Linked DNA regions of Rhinolophus ferrumequinum. The protein of the gene in region 2 interacts with the protein of the main gene of each other region in a pairwise test. Links are inferred from orthologs where the notes say so. Each region holds a gene or a part of one and is shown on either strand. Other genes may lie near its edges.

Region 1 (7,882 bases), on a different chromosome or scaffold from region 2:
AACTTCATGCTATTCAGATTCATACATAAGTAATCAAAAATAGAATTTAGGAGACTGAACTTACAGGCAGACTTTCATGTAGTGGTGCTCAGAGGGATTTTTGTAAACTATTCTTTCATATGTGGCAGCTGGGGCTGGCATCATTTCCATGCTGATTACACCTACGTTGTGTCAAGAGGGTTAGAAATTAACAAGGTACAAGCTACTTTTCACTTTGTTAATGAGAATTCGACCTATTTGATTTTTTAAAGAACTCCTAAGGACTGTAACTCATTTAATTCTGGTCAAACTAAGGTTGCCCATACAGACACAAAGGAAGTTTCTATATTTCATATATGCCAGACAAGTGTATTATTTAAATTCTAATAACATAACCCCACCGAACATTTTCCCCTACTGAGTACCCAGCTCTGTGCTAAATGCTTTACATGCCTTAGGTCATGTCTTCAAAATGATCCTATGAGATAAAAGCTATTATTATTTCCATCTTTGAGAGGAGGACATTGAAGCTTGGCAAAGATAAGGAACACCTGCGCAAGGGAACAAAGATTCCAACCACTCCTAGCGCCTTCATGACCCTCTGGTATGATGCCTCTTAATCCAAAAAAGTAAAAACATAAAGGAGTAAATCTGGGATCTGAAGGCCCTCTTCTTGTTTACTCTCAGCCAACACAGAACATGAACAGAACGAGGGGTAGCAGTTCTGCTGACTGGATCTGCAAGTTCTTTCCATCAGGCCAGGTCAACAGAGGGCTATGTGGCAGCCCCATGAAAGACTGAGCTTAAACAGCAACGGGTTTGGGGCGAGGAATTCCTGGGATGGGCACTCCATGCCATTTCTAACAGATCTGCAACTTTCAAGAACTCAGAACACGCTGCTCCCCCTGTAGAGAATCCCTGTCCTTGGCTCCATTCCCACTTTACTCTCCCTTTCCATAGTGCCTCCTCATCCTGCGAATTTTAGCTTACAGTTCATTTCTTCCAGGACTTTCACCTCTTCAGGGGAGCCTTCTTTGGCACTCTGTTCTGTTAGGTTCCCTTGTTATGCAATCTCTTAACATTGTCTATTTAATACCTAGTCCCCCCACATAGGAACCAGGAAACTGAGGCACTACCAAGGAAAGGGACTTATCCAAGGTCACATCGCTATAGACCAGCATTTGCAAAATCCTCTGGTTCAGGCCAGTTCCGACCACTCCTAGATAGTGACCACCAGAGAAAATGAGAAGTCAGGGTAAAAGAACTACAGCCAGCCATTCAACAAACGTGAATATTTACTGTGTCTGGCACAGAGCAGGCATTCGACCAACTTACTGAATACATGACTGAATGACAGAGGTGTTAGGCCTGTACGTTCAAGAGCATCTTTGGTTTCAGGACTGCGGCAATGGTTACCAACCACTAGTCTCCTGTGACTAGAATGGCAGGGAGAACAGGACTCAATCATTTCATTCATTGCCTGGCACATGATAGGTGTTTTTTAAGTGTTACCGACTAACTTGCCAGAATTGGCTGCCTGAGGTAGGAGAATGAGATTAGGCCTGGGGTTTAGGATGCCAGTAACAATGAAGATTTACAGAGTATTCTGGAAATGGATAGTGGTGATACTTGCACAATATGTGTACTTAATGCCAAGAAATTGTACATTTAAAAAAATGGTCAATTTTGTTGTGTTTCTCACCCCCACACACACTCAGACTTAAGGAGCAAGTGTTGAGCAATCACCTCTCGCTGGACAAGCCTGAGCCTCAAGGTCAATGAGAGCACTGCCCTCTGCGGGCTGTCCTGAGACTTAAAAAGACGGATGCCTGGGAAGCCCTTCCTACAGCCTGGCATATTCACCAGGCTCACCACAAAAATGTGGGCACTTCTATATAGTCATTGCCGTCGTCACCTTTGAAATCAGCCTTTTAAATGGCTACAGACACACTTTACTTCATCCGTTAGTAACTGCTCTCCCTGCTTCCCTCCTCTAACTAGCCTCTACTACAGCCATCGTGAGCCTATTAAAACCTATTCGAGTCACGTCATTCCTCTACTCAAAACCTTGCAATGGTTGCCGTTTCCCTCAGAGTAAAGCTCAAGTCCTTACAGCCGCCTGCCTGCAAGGCCCTACCTGATCTGCACCTCGTGTCCTGCCATTTCCCCACACAGGCCTCCTAGCTCTTCCTCACACTGCAGTTTCCCTCTCGCCTCTGGGCCTCGCTCCCAGCTTCTCTGCGTGCTGGAACATTCTTGCACCAGGTAGCCAGCCAGCCACATGGCTCACTCCCTTGCCTCCTTCACGGCGTCGCTCCAATCTGACCCCTCGATTTGATCCAGTGTCTATCTGATACGGCACCCCCTCCCACCATGCTCCTACTTTACTCTTCTCACAGCACGCACCACCTTCTAATATAACTACGTAATTTCATTTGTTTGTACTCCCCATCCCAACAGATGTACACTCCACAAGAAACTGGGATCTGTCTTGTTCACTGTTTCCCAAGAACCTAAAACAGTGCATCGCACATAGTAAGCACTCCATATGTAAATTTTGGACTAAATCAATGACGTTAAAAATAAAAAAGCTAAATCCCCTACTGTTGCGCACTTAAGTCGTTTTCAACTTTTTTCGATTAACGTCCATTTGGCGTCCAGCTGGCGCCGAGAGCATGCGCTCAGCACCATTGTCACAGCCACGCTCTGCTTCCGCGACCGCCTGGTACAGAGGCCTGGGAAGGACCGCGGCCGGGCCTCGCCTTCCAGCCGCCGGGTCCTCCGCGGAAGCGGAAACCTACCTCAGGCCACCCTGCGCCGCCCGCCGTCACTCTCGTCTTGCGCATGCGGCCTAGGCCGCGCGGCCTGCGTCACCCGCCGGCCGACTAAGCCCAGTCCCGGAAAACAGCCGCTCTGCTATGGGCTTCCGCCTACCCGTTCTTCGCGGGACTGCGCTGACGCCTCCCTGACTCCTGTTCACTGCGAGAATCCGCCAAGGCCTGGAGCTCCCCTGCAGAGGCTTGAGCCTGAGTCCGGGAAACTCCGGGGAGGTTCACGTTCGGCTTTAGTCTGCCCGCCCCCCGGATGCGTGGCGGCTAGGCGCGGATGTGACGTCACCGCGAGGAGTCCTCCTAAGGACCCAAGAGTGAGTCCTTCTCAGGAGCCGGGGCCTGCCGAGCTCAGTACCCTCTGGTGCCCACTCCGGAGAAAACCGCGTGTGCAAATGTCTGCATGGGGTACGGGACTCAGGGCCTGTTTATTTTCCCAGGAAGCTTGCTTCATAGTCATTCATTTATCCATGCAGTCGTTCATTCAGTAAATTTATATCGAGCATCTCTTCTGCTGGGCATCTATGTCATTACTCACCAAGGACACGACCTGCTCTCAATGTCTCTCGTGGCTGACAGCACATAGTAGGTGTTCGGTCGGCTGGAGTTGACAAAAAAGACCCAGATGGTCCCATTTACAAATGTAAGCCAAATTTCATCTACGCATTTATTCATTAAGTACTTGCCGAGCTCCTTGTATGTGCTAGATACTGAGGATTCAGCGGAGAACAGAAAGGCTTCTGTACTCATGAAACAGCTCTTGTATTTAATAATAACAATAATAACAGCTAGTATTTATCAAGTGCGTACTTTGTGCCAGGCACTATGCAAAGAGCTTTATATATGTTACCTCACGGAGCGCTCACACTATCCTAATGTAGCTATCCTTGTGATCATCCCCATTTTACAGAGGTGGAAACAGGCAAAAGAGGCTCAGTGCCTTGCCCAAGATCACACAACGGTAAGTGTGTCATTGTAAAGTGGGCCGTCTGACTCCAGATGGTGTTCTCCACACTGCAGCATGGTATTACCACCGATCGTGTGGGATGAGGCAGGGAGTATTTGGGAGAGTGGCTGGGGCTGCCAGAACGAATGTAAGCACCGTGGGGATGGGCCCGTGTCTCCACTGGCTTACCACTGCCCCTCAGAGGAGACAGGACTTGTTCCAGATTTCAGGAGAGGTTGAGGAAATCAAAACAGACCCCACAAACAGTGGCATTTTCTTTCTCAAAAAAGCATGGGTTTCAGATGCTGCCAAAATTAGCTTCAGATTCATCATCTATCACATGGAGAGATGAATAGCATCTACCTCAGAGTTGTGAGGCAAAAAAAGTGGTGTAAAGTATCTGGCACCCGGCAACACTCTGGAATGGAAGAGAGTTGCCTAAATCAGCTGCCTGGCAAATCCATCCTGCCAGGCTGCAGCCCATCAAAACCAACGCAGCTCCTGTATGAGGTGTAATCAAACAATACGGCAAATGTTTAAATAAAAAAAAATTATTACAGTAAAAGACACATTGCTATTACCCTCCCCCCGCCCTCGCTTCAAACCCATCGTTCTTGCCACTTTCTGAAGCAGTTCTGGAAGTCCTCTTTCATGAGTGTCTTTAGTTGCGCTTTCGTGGCTGCTTTGATGTCCTGAGGCATTTTGATGCCGGGCAAGAACCAGAAGTCGCACAGTGCCAGATTCGGTGGATAAGATGGATGAGGACACACCGTATATTTTTATTTGACAGAAATTGTCATATGCCAGAAATGATGTGTGACATGGAGCATTGTCATGATGGAGAATGATGTATGGCACACTTTAAAACATCTCTGAACTGTAGCTCACGCCCGACTGCAGGGAACAAGTTGAAACGTCCCACTGTTACTAAGGTGCGACGCACCATTTCCTGTATTGAAGATCCCTGCCTTTCCGTTGGATGGCATTTGACAGCAGCAGTCACCATATGTTTTGATCACATCGGAAAGGCGCCGTGTCACACATTGCTTCTGGTAGGGCAATTTCTGTCAAATAAAAACAGTACGGTGTGTCCTCATCCATCTTATTCACCGAATCTGGCACTGTGTGACTTCTGGCTCTTCCCCAAAGTCAAAATGACCATGAAAGGTAAACGTTTTGAATCGATTCAGGACCTTGAGGCTGCCATGACAGTGCAACTAAAGACACGAAAGAAGAATTCCAGAACTGCTTCAGAAAGTGGCAAGAATGATGGGATAAGTGTGTTCGAAGTGAGGGGGAGTATTTTGCGGGGGATTAATGGCAATGTGTCTTTTACTGTAATAATTTTTTTAAATTTAAACATTCACCGTGGGGTGATCAGATAGCTTAGTTGGTTAGAGCGTGGTGCTGGTAACACCAGCGTTGCCAGTTCGATCCTTGCATGGGCCACTGTGAGCTGTGTCCTCCTTAAAAAAATAAATAAGTAAACATGAATACATAAATAAACAAATATTCACCATATGTTTTGATCACACTTTATATTTTGGACTTCAAAGAACTTGAATAATTTTCACTCTCCTGAACCAAACCCTGAAAATGAAGTGCCTTTCACACCGCCTGAATCCTCTTAGTGCTGTCAGAGTTTGGGATAAAATAGTTGGTTGACCTTTGTTTTTCCATTCAATTTTATTTTTTGAGTAGATACTTGAGGCTTTCGGCATACATTTCAAATGGTATAAAGGGATAAGCAATGAAGAGTAAGTCTCCTTCCCACCCCTTCCCCATGAGCAACAACTAGTATGAATTTCTTAAGTGTCTCCCCAGAGATATGGTAGGGGGTGCTTTCCCTTCTTAACAAGGTATCTTAATATTATTCCAAATCAAAATACACAAGACTGCCTCAGTCGTTATAAAAGTTGCCCAGCATTGCATTGGGTGAAGTCAGTTGGCTCAAACGGGGCCATTCTGGATACTCTCTGTATCTGACATTTCAGAGCAAAGTTGTTGGGAAGGATCTGCTCGTATTGATACAGGAAAGTTAGCATGTCCCTAGGTTGACAGGGAGGTCCCTGGTGGAATAAACAAAAGACAGCCATATCCTAAAACTTCAGGTTTTAAAATCACTCCTTTGCTCTAGGACATAATGTAACAAGGCCCTGAGGTTAATCATAAAATTCCTTTTGGCCTGACAAATGGAGCAGATCTGATAGATAAGAGTGGATTACTTTGCTGATTCCTTTAGGATGGGTAAGCAGAACAAACCTGGTAGACGAATTTCATTAGAAGGCGCCAGTTCCCTTCTTCAAACAGCTCCCCTTCCCCAAGCAGGCAAGGGACGGTATAAAAGTAAGAACTTTTGCCTCAGTCATGGGGCACTCCCCATTCGGGACCCCCCTCCCACTCCGGAGCTGCAACCTCTTCTCCTGCCTCTAATAAACTATCCTCTTTTTAAAACTTTTTGCTTCTCCCTGGTCCGTATTTCCATTCTTCGGCTTCACGCGACACGATCCCGGCCCACACTCAGAAACTGCTTTCAGATCCAACATCACCTGCATCAGTTTTTTATGCATCTGGAAGCTATGGCAGTCAAGAAAGTGATGAGTCCATACTTCCACCCGCGTGGCTGTTGTCAGCTCCCCTCCCTGCCTTGTGAACTGGTGCCAAATGGATTTTGCTCAAAGTTGAGGAGCGTTCACAATTTGGGGGAAAAAGGCAAGAGAGAAGCCCGAGTAGGATGACAGTCCCTTAACATTCACAGCCACAATTCTCCATCAATCACACGGGAATTGTATCCATTTATGTCAGCAGCCTGTGAAGATAGGACAAAGGAAGTGAAAATGATCAGACATTAAAGGCTATGAAACTGCAGCTGTTGTTTCCATTTAGGGAGACCGGCCAAGTGCTAGACAGTTTGCTCACATTATCCCATCTACCCTGCAATGTCACTATTATTATTGCCTTTCACAGATGAGGAAAAGTAGCTCTAGAAGATAAGTCATTTGTCTAAGGCGGTGAGAGGCCCTAGAGCCTAAAATGCTGTATTCCATCCTTCCCATGTGAACGCAAGGCTGGGAGCTGCTCTTTTGAGGCAACCCGGAGCATTATCACCAAACGGGAAGCTTTGAAAAGCAGCCAGTGCGTCCGAGGCCCTAGAAGCCAAACCTGAGACAGGGATCTCCATGGAAGTTATTTTTTGGGGACAGCTATTTTGTGTGAAACCCTTAAGGGAAGAAGGAAACAGGATGGGGTAGGGGAAGAAGCTAAGCAAATGAGTTCAGCTGCAGTCTAGCTTTAGCCTAATCCTGCAGGGGAGCCCTAGAGCATAAATGATACCAGAAAGCTTCCAGCCTTGGAGGCAAGGAGGCCAAGCCTTCATGCGCAACACCCCTTCCCCCCCACAGTCAGTCATTGACTGCCAGCTATAGGGTTGCCAGATTTAGAAGAAAAAAAAGATACAGATTGCCCAGTTAAATTAGAGTTTCAGATAAACGATGAATGGGATAGCCTTACACTAAAAAGGTACTCATTTATCTGCAATTAAATTTAGCTGGGCGTCCTGTATTTTATCTGGCAACCATAGCAGGTGAGAGGAAGTGAATGTGGCATATCTCTCAGGTATCTCCAGTCATCTGAGGGTGGTTCTTCTGGGGGAAAGGGCAGCTGTGAGCCCTCTGCAGCCAACACCCGCAGAGGTGGGGGTTGGGTGCAGGAGTCAGTAAAGGGACCTGGGAAGAACATCAGCAGCACCCACTATGGGCAGGGACTCTGGGGGCAGCTCACCAGTCAATTGTAAAAACGACCAGCAGCTCTTGCCCAGACTCTTATGTCCAAAGCATCCTCAGGATAGCCTGGTCCCCGCTTCCAGCCCCCTCCCTAGCTGCCTTCTGAGGACGTTTTTTGCTCCTGCAGTCATTCTCCTGCTTGTGTTGGGGCTAGAGATGGAACTGGGCTATTTAACTTCGTTTCATCCAGCATTTTTGAAAGGTACTTACTTAAGTAGTGGAGGAGCCTTTCCTCTGAAGTGAAGTTAGAAACCTCTCCCTTAAAGAGGCCCCAGGACCCCAGGAAAGGAGAATTTGGAGAGGAGATAACCACCTGTACTTAAGCAGCTGTTTTTGGAGGGGCCCAA
Region 2 (7,427 bases):
TAACAATGCACTTTTTAACTTATTGAAAGTGACTTAATTAACATTAAATAACTTTAAGAATCCTCACATCACACACAAAAAAACTATCATTTGTACAAATATGCACCAGCTCAACATTATGTAAAATAAGAACAGTGCACAGAGAGTGCTCTTAAAAAGAAATGCAAATAAATATGCTCATCTGTAGCTTCCATATTACCAATATAAACATAAATAATTATAAAAACTAATTACTAACTTCAGAAATTGTACTTTACCTGTTTCTTTTCCTTAAATTCAACAATGTGATTGATGGCAACAACTGAATAGCCAACTGAAAAGAAAAATTGAACATTCTTGTTAAATATGACAACCTCTCTTTCCTATACACATAGGCCCATCCCAATTCTGGACGTCAAGACTAGGAGGAAGTTTGCAGAGTGACATGGGTATGGACTCTGTTGTCAGACTGCTTGCTTTCAAGTCTAAACATTACCACTTAGAAGTTTCAGGTTCTTCAAGTATCAAAATGGTGATAATAACGGAACTTATCAGATGCCTGGTATGAGAATTAAATGAGATAATACACTTGGGTGTTTTAGAACAGTGCCTGGCAAAAAGTTTTAAGGCTTTGTTTGACTTCTGTAATGTAGTATTAGCATGATACTAAACACCCTTCACTTTGTGTGTCTCCTTCCCAACCACCATTCTCTTTCAAGTTCCTTTTTTCATTTTCGTCCCATCAACTTTATACCTTTTCACCGTCACCTTTATTCTCATTCATTTCTTTTGCTTTTTACCCTCCCGACTTCCTTCAGAGGCCTTTCTCCTAAGGAGAAACAGAGTAATGACTCCCTGACACCACTGTCCACTTCCCCTTTCGAGCTACTCACCATCAAGACTGGGAACCCTTTGAGGCCAAGGTCTTGCTTTATTAACATCAACACAGATCACTGTTTTGTACACCATGACTACCAAAAATGTCAAAATCATGACTCCGATCTTTAAGCTATTTAAATAACGGGGGTGACAGGATATTAAAACATAATGTATATTAATGCCAAAATAGTGGTTCTTCCTCTCATCAGTTTGTCCAACTTCCTTCTTTTCTTCCTCACTCAAATATTTATTGGGTATTCATTACTTATCAGGCCCTGTGCTACATGTTGAGCATACAGAAAAACCAGAAGATAAGAGAAATTTGCCTGTACAGTACTTTGGGCTTCATCTTTCACTCACTCAGTCAAATCAACCAACCTGCACCTGACCCCCCGCCACCACCATTCTTCTTTACCATACTCCCAAGTCTTCTCTAAGCTTTTTTGTTATACACACTTGTATATAACACACTTGTATATAACTTATATATAACTTGTATATAACTCCCCCTTCTGGCCACTAAACAATGTCTCTACTGTTCTTCAGAAATATCAACTAGAATCAATTTCTCCACCAACTTTTCCTAGACTACCCATCTGGCATCTTAAGAGTACTTCCCCAATCAACCTGTGGTGACATTTTTATTTATATACCATATTTCTAAAGCTTATCATTGATTTGTTATATCATATCATAAACTAAGAACCAGGGCTCTGTCTTCATTATTCTTTGAAAATTTCCACTCACCAATTTCTACCTTTGACTTATAAGTTGGAGTGACTTTCTGTCATGTCATGACTTTCATTTAATTTTTAAAGAAACAGACTAGGTAACAACGTATATACACCTTAATGTATATTCTTCCACCACATTTTACATCGGGGCAATTTTCTAAACAAAATATTACAACTTTTGTGTATTTTGTAAAAGGTGTTCAGTTTATTAATTTATTCCATAAGCATTAACCGAGTAACTACCATGCCACAGGGCTGCTGAGTGACTGCTGAGCACAGGAAATAAATAAAAGAATAAATAGAAAGCCATGGCCCCTCTCTAAAGAAAATCATGATTCAGGCAGCAAGGGAATGGCATCAGGAAAAGCTTCATTGAGGAAGTAATACAAGAGAAATTAAATTACAAAATTGTTTTTTAAAGGAACCATCAAAGAATAGTAGGGCTAAACTACCCAGATCATCATGTCTACCCCGCTCCTTTCTACTTGTGCAAAGTATTCTTAGAGAGACAATGCTAATTCGTGGCTGCAATGGAAAGAGACCGTCAATTCCCTTGGGACACTTAACAAAGGGGACAAGAAGAAATGGTGTAATCCACTTTGCCAAGGAGTGGCTTTATCTAGCACCATCTATGAAGCGTATCATTACCAGCTCTCACAGAGCTGAGAACTGAGGAATGGATCTTACTGCAAAAACTTCTTTATGTTTAAACTTTTCTATCTCCAAATCGAAGGAAGAAAACAGCAGTCACAATTCCAGTAATTAAACAGGCTCTTATCTCTCAAGGATTCCACTTACCTTGGATTCAAATATGAGTACCATTCTAGCACTTTGGCCATGCTGCTTCCTTCGCCCCATCCTAGTACGTTCTCCCCTACCTACCCTCCCTCTAAATATTATTCCAACACTCGCACTCCCACGTCCCTCCCCGTTCTCTAAGCCCACACAGTACTCCCAGTCTGCACCAGCTTGCCGCATTTGCTCTGACACTGTCCTGAGAGGCAGAAAAGGGTGATATTAAAAGCACTGGGTGAGAGACTACACTTGGAAGCCCTGGCTTCTGCCATCCATCAATTGTGGGGACTTATGCAAATCCCCCCACCTTCTCAGGGAGGGCCCCAATTTCCTCAATTTGCAGGTAAGAAGGAGCTAGATTCGCCAACAGCTGACTTTGAGTTTCCAGCGCTCGGTATCCGAGCAACAACGCGATGGGCATCAGTTTCCAGGGACGTCCCAGAGACACGAACGAGGACCGGCCTGGCCGGGACACTCCCGAATGTAGCTGGGCAGGCACCACGATCCGCGAAACCGGGGCAACTCACCATGAGCGGCGTTCTCCACGAGACCACGCAGCGCCTTCAAGTCTGAACTCGCTCTCAGGTCCAAATCTGCAAATACCGCCATGCTTAAGTCACATGACCGCCCGTACGTCCGTTTGCGCCGGGGCTGGGCCTGCCTTGAGGCATGCTGGGAATTGTAGTTTACCTGAACGATAAGTCCCTCCCTTTAGTTGACTATTCAAGGTTCGCAGGCACTAGCCTCACTTTCAAGTACCAGCAAATATTAGTGTATTGAAACCAACAGCTTCACTTCAATCCTGTGTTGTCTTCTTTTGAATGAGAACGTTGTTTCTCACACCGGGGTTCAAATTTCCCACCATTCCCCCTATAAAATATTGTAGAAAGTGATTTCAAAATGCTTGTATACGGCATTCATTGAGCGCCTATCATGAACCAGACACTTTTACTAAGGTCTGGAAATGCTTTTCAAAAACTCATAAAGAACTCATTCTTCTTTCCTTCCCCTGAACTTCATTCTGTTGTTTAAAATGGGCTTATTGGAAAGAGGGGGAATCTGACCTGAAGACCTCAAAGGAGGAAAGAGGACTCCCCAAGAAAAGGAAAGCGTCTTCTTGCCCAATCAGAACTGGTGGTGATGTAGCATGCTGTTAGCCATCACACTTAACAACGTCTTCAACCACAATATGTCAGGGCTCTTCCTAGGATGAGCAGTTAGCTCCAACACTGGTTTAGCCAGAGATAGATTGGATAAGGGAGTTGCAAAATGGAAATGTTTTACAATTTTCCAGCTGAGAAATGTAGACGGTGGTGTCAACCAAAGTTCACTGCCACTAATCCAGTGCCAACAGGAGTCCCAATTTGGGGTGTGGTAAAGGAAAAACTTTACTCAGGTTTGCACTTGGGAAACACAGCACAGCCTCTGGAGGGAATAGAAAGTAGGATCCCCTGAGACAAAGGGGAGACCTATTTATCCAGAGAAAGTGTCCACTCTGGTCCCTGATTGGTCCATTTTCAAATGAGGAATCCAAATTTACACAGTTCTATCGGAATAGCATGGTCTGGTTTAGTCAGAATCATGCATTCTGATTGTTTGTATGGAGCAGTTCTGATTGGTCAGTAAAGATGCAAATGAGAATATAGCTGCAAGTTTCAGCCTGTTGGTTGAACTATGATACCAGGAACTCCTTTATAAGGATTGACTCAAATAGCAGGAACACAGTATAGGAGACTTGGCAACCCAGTCTCTTGCTTTTTCCTGAAATGCTGTGTGCGTGAAAGGCTTCTGTAAACAATGGTTGCCAGACTCTGATTATGAATTTGGGCCCAATTAACCACAAGGAGTCCGTTTTGACAGGTATATTCCTTCTCAGGGTCAACAGTGGTGTGGATCCCACACATTTAATATTTCCACATTTTTGGACTTCATATAAATGAACTCTCAAAGATTGATAAATCAATTCTCCAACAACATAAAATTGTAGAACTATAATTTGCTAAGTACTCACCCACATAGCTTATTCAAAGCAACTGTGAATTAAGTACTGTTGTTTTTTTTTTTTTAGCAATAAATACATTTTCCATTGGAGAAATCTAAGGCTTAGATAACAGTGATTGAACTATATGTGGTCCCAGGAGATGTGGTTCAGTTCTCACTTCGGATATGGTCTCTCCCAGGCAAAGCAAGCAGAAAGGAGAGTTGGAGGGTTGGAAAGGAGGAGGGAGAGAAGAGGAGGGAAAGGAAGAAAAGAATGGAGGGCTGGAGGAAAAGGAAAGAGGAAGTAGGGAAAGAGGACAGAGAGGAAGGAGTGGAAGAGGGAAGGAAAGAGTGAGAAGAGGGAAAAGATAAGACAGAATAGGGAACAAGGAAGAGGGGCTGATGCTGGCTTGGAGAGTAGTTGAGGCAGCAAGGATCTGAAGTTTGAAGAAGACCATGGAAATTTCTGACTAGAGAATAATAGTACTGTCTAACCACTCTAAGTACTTTGTTTCCATTATCTGATTTAATCCTCACAACCAGCAGATGAGAGGAATACTGTTGTTCCTATTATATCAAGAAGGAGTCCTGGGTTCAGAGAGGGTGATTCAAGTCATTGCTTCTTCCTTGGGAAACTTAGAAAGAGGGTGGGTTTGGCATTCAAAGCAAGCTTTGAGCCCTTCTCAGTCTCCCTAAGTCTTCTCTTTCTCGGGCTGGGACCTACAATAAAAGTCAGTGTGTGTTCAGTTAGTCTTTGGTCTTCACCTCTTTTAACTTGGTTTCCCTCTCTTGCGTGAGCTGAGAAACATGCCACCAGGCCCCTGTCCTCTGGCAGCTTAAGGCTGAGGTGGGGCAAGGCAAGAAAGTGAGGTACATAATTTGCACAGATGTGACAGGAGCATCTGGCAGGGTCTTCTCCCCCAGATTGAGGGGAGTTTAAGAGATTTGGAGAGGATAAAGGACAATTTCCTATAGGAAGTAATATTTGAATTAAATTTTAATGCATGAAATTGAAGAGCAATAAGATGTAGAGGTCTGGGGTGTATCCAGAATTGGTCCAAAGTAGGTGATACTCAGTCAAAAGTGGGAGAATTAATGATTGAACCTACATCAACACAATTATAGCACTGTTGGATGTATCCAGTTATCTAAACACATTCACTGAAAACACATTCGCCAAAAAATTCATTGAACTGTGCATGTTGTACACTCGCATGATACACCAGCTACTCAAACAGAACCCCCTTTCTTGTTTCCAATGATGAAGCACTTACAGGTACTCCTGGACAGGTCAAAAAAGATGCCCTTCCTCCAGGCAGACTTGCATTTGCCCCTATTCACCACATGCCTGGTAGGTTTGTGCAGTAAACCGCTGCCCAGTTTTCCCCCAGAGGCCCTGGTAAAGCATCCTAGAGGAGTTAATTGCTAACCCTAGAACTCTAATGGGACTTGACAGGACATCACCAATCCAGGAAGTCTCTCTCAATAATCCCTCCCTCCTCTTCTTGTCTTCCCCCAGAAACTCCCATTACTGGCCTGGTATCATGAGAATGTCCATTTTACGAGTTGGGGTAGTCTATCCCTGCTTGCAATGTTAGGTGTTTTGTTTTTTTTAAGTTCAATTAATATGAAAGTGAGCTATTTTTTGTATCTATGTTTCCATCAAAAGTTTGAAAATGAAAGACAGATGTTGAAGGCTTGTATATTATAAAAATCAGCAGTGTGAAAATAAAGAGTATTCTTATGTGTTTAAGATGTAATATATACCCATGACAAAAGAATACAACTTAAGAAGTCATTATGAAAGAAATCAAAGGAAGAATTATGACTGGTATACAGAAAAGATATTTGATGATAAACTTAACGAGTGGAAAGAAAAGGACTGAAATTGCAACAGGTTGACTTTTTAATGCAAGTAGAATAAATGATTGTATTAATCATGGTTCTCCAGAGAAACAGAACCATATATATACGTATATATACATACGTATATACATATATATACACACATACATACATACATATGTGTGTGTGATATGTGTGTGTGTGTGTGTATATATATATATATATGTATATATATATATATATATATATATATATATATATATATATGAATTGGCTTACATGACTATGGAGGCTGACAAGTTCCAAATCAGCTGGCAAGCTGTGGGCCCAGGAGAGCTGATGGTGTAGTTTAAGTACGAAAGCAGGCAGGTTCAAGATGCAGGAAGAGCTGATATTTCACTTTGAGTCCAATGACAGGAAAAAGCCATTGTCCCAATTTGAAAGCAGGCAGGCAGGCAGGAGGAATCCTGCTTTATTCGAAGAAAGGTCAGCCCTTTTGTTTTATTCAGGCCTTCAACAGATTGGATGACGTCCACCTATATTAGGGAGGTTAACATGCTTTACTCAGTTTACTATTTCAAATACTAATCTCATCCAGGAGAAACATCATACATACACCCAGAATAATGTTTAACCAAATATCTGGGTACCCCACGGCCCCGTCAAGATGACAGGTAAAATTAACCATCACGGTGATGCTGCCTTGAAATTGTTGCATATTAAGTGGAAAAAAAATTGCTCAGAGAACTAAAACTTTTTATTGAAGGCAAGTTTACAAATAATATTTAGTGAAGGCAAAAGATAGAACAGGTCCTAAACAGAAACTAGCATTTGCAAATGTAATAACTATAAATTCTATTGCTCACTATGTTGGAGATATAGCTAGGAATTTGCAGCATAAATTGCATGCAGAAATTATTTCTGGTATTTTCTATGGAAGCTGATAAGCAAGAAGATTTATAAAAGCTATTTTAATCGTTGAGAGTTTTGACTTGCCTAAATATCTTTTGGAAATGGTGCACAAAATAGACACACCATTAGGAAGTGGCTAATTTTTGTATATGGAGAATTTTGAGAATTTTAAAGTAGACTTGTCAGAATTGGTAACCATAACTAACACTGACTCCTGCAGGGGTCAGTGTTAACATCAAACTTATGCAACATAAGCACAATGTGACAAGATTTTGCCAACACACCAAATTTTAGCCAGTTTAT
Region 3 (7,969 bases), on a different chromosome or scaffold from region 2:
TCAGCAATGTTTTTATTGATGTATCTCCTCAGGCAAGGGAAACAAAAGCAAAAAGAAACAAATGGGACTACATCAAACTAAAAAGTTTTTGCACAGTGAAGGAAACCATTACACAAAAAGACAACCTCCTGAATGGGAGATATTCACCAACGATGCATCCGATAAGGGGTTAATATCCAAAATTATTGTAAAGAACTCATACAACTTAACACCAAAATAACTAACAATCCGATTAAAAAATGGGCAAAGGACCGAAACAGACATTTTTCCAAAGAGGACATACAATGGCCAACAGACATATGAAAAGATGCTCAATGTCACTAATCATCAGGCAAATGCAAATGAAAACCACAATGAAATCACCTCACACCTGTCAGAATGGCTATCATCAAAAAAATCAACAAACAAATGTTGGCCAGGATGTAGAGAAAAGCAAACCCTCATGCACTATTGGTGGGATTGCAAATTGGTGTAGCCAAACCGGAAAACAGTATGGAGCTTCCTCAAAAAATTAAAAATAGAACTATCTTGTGACCTAGCAATTCCACTTCTGGGTAGTTATTCCAAGAAATCCAAAACACTAATTTGAAAAGACATATGCACTCCTTTGTACTATGCAGCATTATTTACAGTAGCCAAGATATGGAAGCAACCTAAATGCCCATCGACAGACTACTGGATAAAGAAGATGTAATAATACATTTATACACTAGAACATTACTCGGCCATAGAAAAGAATGAAATATTACCATTGGTGACAACATGGATGGACCTAGAGGGTATTATGCTAAGTGAAATAATTCAGACAAATTAAGGCAAACACCATATATGCTCACTTATATGTAGACGCTAAAGAACAAAATCAACAAACAAAATAAAAAAAGACTCACTGAGAACAAACTGATGGTTGCCATATGGGAGGGGGAAGGAGCATGGGTGAAAAAGGTGAAGGGATTAAGAAGTACAAATTAGTAGTTACAAAATAGTCACGGGAATGTAAAGTACAGCATAAGGAATATAATCAGTAATATTCTAATAACTAAGTATAGTGCCAGGTGAGCACGAATCAAGGGGATCACTTCGTAAATTATATTAATTGTCTAACTACTATGCTGTACACCTGAAACTAATGTGAAATAATACTGAATGTCAACTATAAATGAAAAATAAAACTAAAGTGAATATCAAATACCTCAATACTTTCTTATATTGATTACATGTTGAAATGATAATATTTTGGATATGTCAGGTTAAATAAATGTCTTTAAAATTAATTTCTCTTTTTCCTTTTTTAATGTTAGTAGAAAATTTTTAAATAACGTGAGCTACATTTGTGGCTTGTATTGTATTTTTTCAGGACAGTGGTGTTCTAAACTGTCCTTTCCCTCTTTCTGAACCTAGATAACTCCAATTTTTGAAGACTAGCTCAGGTAACCCACTAAGAAGTATTACAGGACACTCTCGTGCCACCAAGACCCTAAGTCTTGGTGGGTAGTTAGTCAACTACCCTTGCTCCTCTGTGCTTCCATCCATAAGAATCTGCTTATACCTGTCCTACAACACATCACAATGTAATTATTGGTTATCAGCTATCTTCTCTTAAACTGTACGCTCCTTGCAAAAAGGGATATCATTCTACATATACTCAGGGCCTACCACCATGCCTAACACTTAAAAGGCACTCGAAATATGTGTCAAACAAATGTGAACTATCAATTCCTGGCCTGAAAGTTACTAGAATTTCCCCAAGGAAAACAACCAGTAATGAAGGAGCCTCGACTTTCCCAGGAGCTCTCCAGTAATGAAAGGACTCAGGTGATGGTGGGAAGTAGGAATTACTGTAAAGAGAATAGCAATGAGAAAATAAAGTTCATCACACACACTTGCCTCTTGCAGTGAAAATAGGTATTTGCAGCAATGATATGGAGCCATGAACTCACACTTGGCATGCCAGGAGCCACAGTTTGGTTTCTAAATTACTTAAACAACCCATCCAACAAAAGAGTATGATCTGGCAGGTTTCCACACAAACAGCGAGAGCCCCGCACCTGTTCCACTTACATAGCACGTCACTACAGTTAACAACAACAACAAATCTCTCTCACGAAGAAATGCTAATCTCATGATGCTTCACCATGGAGCAATTTCAAAGAGTTACTATATGAAATGTGCCAGAGCATGAATTTATGGCTGATGCTTATTTGGCAAATATGGTTGGTACTGCTAGACGTTGAAAAACATGTATGCAAATAAGCAAATCAAAGTTTTTAAGCTCACAGACTTAAATATTTACATTACCATAAATATACAAAGATAAATGTTTATAGGAATACACGCATAACACATTCCAGGAACAACTTTTTAATGTGATTGTCAGGAACAGTTATGAAGTGGCATTATTTCCTTATGGGCCTCGGGGTATGTTTAAAAATGAATTCTGACAGCATGTTAATGGGGTACAAAAATTATCAAGGACATTTCTTTGTACTGGGTAAAATGAATAGTCATAGTATAATAGTTCAAAGCAATCTTATCTTTTCCTTTCAACAAAACACTTTTCTTCGCTTCCTGGAAGCCAGCCAAGCATAAATGTCAGCCCCTCAATGGAGGGTAGAGGGATGGAGAGGAGGACCACACATCAAAAATCCTTAAAGAAAATAATCTGACATTTTTTCCCACATAATACAGCCATGTTAGAGTCTCCAAAATAAAGACATGATAAAATATTCTCTCCTCTTCCCCTCTGACAGCTATGGAAAGATGTTTGTTTTTCACATAGTTTGTGAGTTGGTCATAGCCAAAACTCACTAGCAATGGTATGAATTCTGCTTCCATTGTTAACTGTTAATCTCTGGGCTGAGACTCTAACTCCATATTTGAAGCCATGAAAATGTACCCTACTTGCCATTATAGTTTACTAAACGAGTCACCAAAGAGAAGTGCCAAGCACTTCAGAAAATAATTAAGGTAGTCAGTGAATTGCACTGTCTAGAAATGTTCTGAGATTACGGAAGCCATCAAGAAGCAGGTATCCAAGATTGCACATGGAAAGTTTTACCCCTGTGGATAATTCACGTAAAACTTCCACACCGCAGAGAGCAATATGGGTTTGCCAAATACACACATTACTACATCATTTCATTTACTTTGGTAGACAAAAATCAGTAGGTAGGCCCCAAAACAGAATCCTCAAGGCCATCCCAATTCGGGTGAAAAGCTGTTGACATACATCATCTAATGACCTAAAAAATAGCCTTGTATGTTGGTCTCCAAATATGTAATTTAACGTATACTCTTACCATATTTAACAGAGGCAGAAGGAAAATGTATTAGGCTTCCTATAGCAAGGCCAATAAAGATGAAATCTAGTTTTCCTTTAATTCGTCAAAACGCCAGCCTTCCAACAACTCCATTCCACAGCTCTCAAATTCCTAAACTTGGGTCTTAAAAATAATAACGGATTGCAAGAAAGTAACATTTAAAGGTGGGAGGGCTCCTCTTTCCTGTTGCTCTCAGCAGTCTTTAACGTCACCAAAGGACGAAACACGAAATCCAACTCTCAGACGGGTGGTGCAGGCGACGGGGAGGGAGGTGGGAAGGGGGTTCAGACCGCAAGTCCCCATCGCGGGAGGTAAGAAAAGTTGCAAGAACGGGATGAGTCAAAGGGCAAAGGAGAAACAAACCGACCAACCAAGCAAAGCCGCACGTTAGTTAGGGGGCTCACAAACCGCAGCCCCAAGTGAGCAGGCAAAGAGCCACCGGTTTCGTCCAGGCGCTGCTGGCTAGGCTGCGCCGGGTGCTCCGGGGATCGGGGCGAGACGTCCATGCGAACTTAGCAAGAGGACGGGAGCCCTTCCTGCCCCAAGCTCCCGCCGGCCAGCTCCCCCATCCAGCCTTCACTTTCCCCACCAGGCTCCCAGCCGCGCCCGGAGACGTCCGTCGCCGCCAGATCCCAACTTTCCCTCCTCTGGGGGGCGCCGAGCTACCGGGGCCGCCGCCGCTGCCGCCACCGCCGCAGGAAGGGGCGCGAGGGGGCGCGCGGTGCCGGCGGGCCCCGGGGGCACAGGGGCGGGGGGGCGCAGGGTTGGCCGGGGCCGCAGAGCCCGCGCCGGGGCCGCCGCCCGAGCCCCCGCGGCGGCGCTCCCCAGACCCCGCGCTGCCCCGCCCGGATTCCCCCCAGTTAGCGCCCTCACCTCGCGGCGACCCTGGTTCCGCAAGCCGGCGCGAGAGGAGAAGGGGACGAAGGGGACGCGGACAGCCTTGCCCCCGTTACCTGAGGGGCGCACACGCCACCGCGGTGACCACCATCGCCAGCCGGCCGGTCCCCTTCCTGCTCACCGCGGCCACCGCCGCCGACCAACTGACACTAACAACAACTAACTACTCGACGCCGCCGAGTCCACCGCGCGCTCCCGGCCGCCCGCCCAGCCCACCAGCCAGCCCGCCCGCCTCCTCCCAGCCCCGCGCACCGCCCTCCGCGCGCGCACTCGCCGCCGCGCTCCTTGAGGAGCGAGCCCGCACGCGCGCACAAGCCCTCGACCCTCTCTGCCCTGTCGCGCCTCCGTCCCTCAGGAGGTATCACCGTGAGGCCCCGCCTTCTCGTGTTCCTACCCCAATAGAATGAGACCTAGAGGGCTTCTGATTGGCTAAGGAGAGTGTGACCAAAGGAGGAGGGCGGGACGACCAGAACCTCGGGCCGGCATGAAGGGAAATTTCGGTTCAAGTAAGTTCTAGAGGAAAAGGGAAACAAAGTATTGGCCCATTTGGTGCCGGAGCCTCCTAGGTCAGCCTGCGTCGAACACGAAACTTGTGTTTTCAAGGACTCCATTCGATAGTAATTGCCAATTTAAGCTACAATACTTACTGCAGACCTTAGCAATTCTTAAAAACTACACTTCCCAGAAACCTTCGCGAAAATAAGTCTCGCTTTGCGTAGTCACGTAGTCCTTCGCCGCTTTTGAACAAAATAATCCCTTCATTTTTCGGAAGGTATTGGGAATAGTATTTCATTTTTCTCCTTACCGAAACAATTTTAAATGTTACTGCGATGAGAGAAGTTGCCTATGGGAAGATAGTTAAACAATTACGTAAAGAAAGAAGGATATCATAATAAAGTATTGCGGAGGAATTTTTTGTCAAGCTGCGAGACGACGGAGTGAGAAGAGTGAATGCGATTGAGAGGGGCTCAGAGAATTGTCCTCTGTGCAGGGACTTTCTTTAGCCCCAGGCCCCTGCCTGCCCCTATCGTCAGCAGGTCAGTAAGCAAGGCGAGCTTGGGGGTGGCCACAGTGGGGGTGCCCTTCACCCCTTGAAGACCATCGCTCTTTTGCTGTTGTTAATTGGTTTGTCTCGGGTTGAGGCCGACTGAATGGGGGCGCCTCACTTCCGGTTGGGGGAGGGGAAGAAGGCCGTCCTGGGGGAGGGGAAACAACTCACTTCCTGTGGGGTAGGGGGATGATTTGGGGGTGTCCCTCCCACACTTCCTGTGCCGGCGAGGTCTTGAAAAGGTGGTGCTTGTTGCCAGTACAGCACGTATTTTAAAGGTTTGGAATTGTGTTTTATGTGAAAAGTTAGATTATTCCACCAATTTATGCTCATCTCCAGCCTCCAGTAAGAATTTATGTGAATTTTGTTTCAATGTGTAAGATGGAAAATTTTCTCACCGACAAAATTTTCTTAATGCGCTCGCCAAAGAATAGAAACCATTTGTTAAAATTCTCTCCTCCTCTTTGCGAAATGACATGCTGTACTTTCTTGTGTAACTCGTAATTGTCCAGCTCTGCTCCCCGACTCACGTCCAACCTTCACCGACAGGTTTAGTGTTCTCTGCCTTGACATGACACAGGAACTCTACAGAACGCGACATTTTACATAAATTATGAGGCATGTTCACCTTACCGGAGTGAAAGTATCATACTGAAGTACTCAAATACTTGGTGTTGCCTTAATTGATATGGTATCTTAAATTTCCTAAACCTGTTGATTTTGGACTACAGGGTTTGCCCTGTGCCTGAGAACAACTTCCTCAGACTTAAAAATAATCATAATTGTAACATGTAGCATTTGTGAAAGTTAGCCGAATACATTTTCCCCCTTTGTGATTTAATTAAATTCAGATCAGTTCAACAGCCGTATCTATTTGTTCTTTGGGGTTTTAAAGCATGGTGCAAGAATCAGGAGATTCAGCCCAGATTTTAAGTGGGGGGCGGGGGGAATTTGGTTCACAAAGGACAAAAGATGATTAAGAAAAAAATTTCTGTTTCCTATATTATCAATGGTTTATAAGTAACTATATGTGAAGTGGAATGAACACTCAACAATTTTTATTTCTTGGCTTCTGTTTTCAAGTACCACAATACTTGGGGTGGGTGGATGTATAACGAAGGAATCAGTCTATTTGGAAATTACGAAATCTCAACAACTGTAGCAATTTTAGAATATCAAGTGAACTGTGATGTTCTTCAAGGATTTTTAAAAGAATGAAGCCAGTGTATTTTTTTCTTTTGAGATTGTTACCTAATCTGTCCTCAGAATTTGCAATTATTTTAATTCTAGTTCTTTTAAAAAGTTACTTTGTTTAGAGTTTATTAGAAAATGTTTTAAATTACATGTTACAATAAAGGGAAAAAATATGTTTTAACCTTCTGTAGACAAGAAAGATCTAAGACCCTAAAAATCAATGAGTTATCTTTTTAAAGACTACCACATTTCTGCAGTAGTTGAAAAGGCAAGACAAAATGTCTGTTGTCATTATAAGGTTACAGACATGTAGACTGCCTCAAGTATTAATTAATTGCTTAGAGAGAAGGTGTTCACTGTCTTCTATATTACTGTAATATAGAGGAAAATATGATATGGTCATTCTGACAAATTAAACTGTTAAACTATAGTATTAGGAATTACTGAAGTAAGTAAAGATTGGAACTAAATGAAAAAGAGAAAACATCGTTAAAATATTGATTGAGATAGTAGTATTGCCTTTTGGAAACTTCGGAAAGCAAAGAAGTTTTTTAAAAAAGAAAGCAAAGTTGATTAAATTGGTTTCTGTGCTGTTTCATGGAATAAGTGCAGTGTAATAGAAATAAGAAAAATTGCTGGGGTTGAAAGACTTGAGCAGCTTGAAAAACTGTTCAGAAGATTGCAATATATAAAGCACATATCTGAGAAAGGATGTTTTGTGATAAGTGGTAGTTATTCATTGGTTCCATCCAAAAAGAAATACTAGAAAAGCTTGTGAAAAATAAAGGGAAAGTCATGGAACCTGCGAACCTGCTTTTAATTCTCTCTAAAAGTGTTTCTGTGAAGAGGATTGCTATCTCCCAAAGGCTTTTTTTTTTTTTCTTAATGCTTTTTGTTGCAGTTTTCTTTGCATGTTCTAATAGAACCATACTATCAAAGTTAGAAAAATGCTTTTGTAAGTGTGCTCTTGTTACATCTTTGAGTTAATGAATTTGAGATTTTCATTCTATTAGTTGCCATCTATAATAAAGAACTTGTCCATTTTTAGAGTGTTTAGATTAGATAACCAGAAGCAGTCATTTGGATACACTGTTCACAGAGGTTTGAAATATTAAAGCAGTAAGTCAAAATTCTGTATTTCATCTCAGTGACATTTGATTAGCCACAAAACACTAGACACCATATATAATGCAAAAGTGTCTTTTCATTCTTTTGTCTACCTTTTTTTGTAAAATCATACTAATGTTTTACAACTATAACTTTTTCGTGTGTTGTTTTAGTAGATTTTGCCATGAGGTCAAGTGTTAAAGAGAGTCTCCTAATAACTTGAATGGTTTTTGAATGGTTTTTAAACTTATTACTCTGCAATCTTTACCTGTACTTCAGGGCCTTCAAGAGTGTTCAAATGAGAATACCTCTTACATGACTTTTTGTGATTTCAACAAAAGTTTACTGTGGGCCTACTGTGTGCTAATCACTGTATTAGGGACTTGGAGTGCATCAGTGAACA

The links.
Region 1: the proteins of RPP30 (region 2) and RPP14 interact in binary tests that used the Homo sapiens proteins (3 or more experiments, as listed by UniProt). The link is inferred for Rhinolophus ferrumequinum from reciprocal best matches to the Homo sapiens genes RPP30 and RPP14.
Region 3: the proteins of RPP30 (region 2) and HMG20A interact in binary tests that used the Homo sapiens proteins (3 or more experiments, as listed by UniProt). The two-hybrid records come from large-scale screens. The link is inferred for Rhinolophus ferrumequinum from reciprocal best matches to the Homo sapiens genes RPP30 and HMG20A.

The regions. Positions count from the first base shown.
Region 1 is NC_046300.1:52,911,157-52,919,038, reverse strand, and holds the start of RPP14 (ribonuclease P protein subunit p14), read right to left. Parts: upstream 3,048-7,882; 5' UTR 2,914-3,047; exon of another isoform or gene 2,781-2,913; intron 2,775-2,780; exon of another isoform or gene 2,584-2,774; intron 162-2,583; 5' UTR 151-161; coding exon 65-150; intron 1-64. UniProt on the Homo sapiens protein: Component of ribonuclease P, a ribonucleoprotein complex that generates mature tRNA molecules by cleaving their 5'-ends.
Region 2 is NC_046299.1:30,934,787-30,942,213, forward strand, and holds the start of RPP30 (ribonuclease P protein subunit p30), read right to left. Parts: upstream 3,025-7,427; 5' UTR 2,997-3,024; coding exon 2,915-2,996; intron 314-2,914; coding exon 258-313; intron 1-257. UniProt on the Homo sapiens protein: Component of ribonuclease P, a ribonucleoprotein complex that generates mature tRNA molecules by cleaving their 5'-ends. Also a component of the MRP ribonuclease complex, which cleaves pre-rRNA sequences.
Region 3 is NC_046289.1:100,470,115-100,478,083, reverse strand, and holds the start of HMG20A (high mobility group protein 20A), read left to right. Parts: upstream 1-4,942; 5' UTR 4,943-5,168; coding exon 5,169-5,254; intron 5,255-7,969. UniProt on the Homo sapiens protein: Plays a role in neuronal differentiation as chromatin-associated protein. Acts as inhibitor of HMG20B. Overcomes the repressive effects of the neuronal silencer REST and induces the activation of neuronal-specific genes.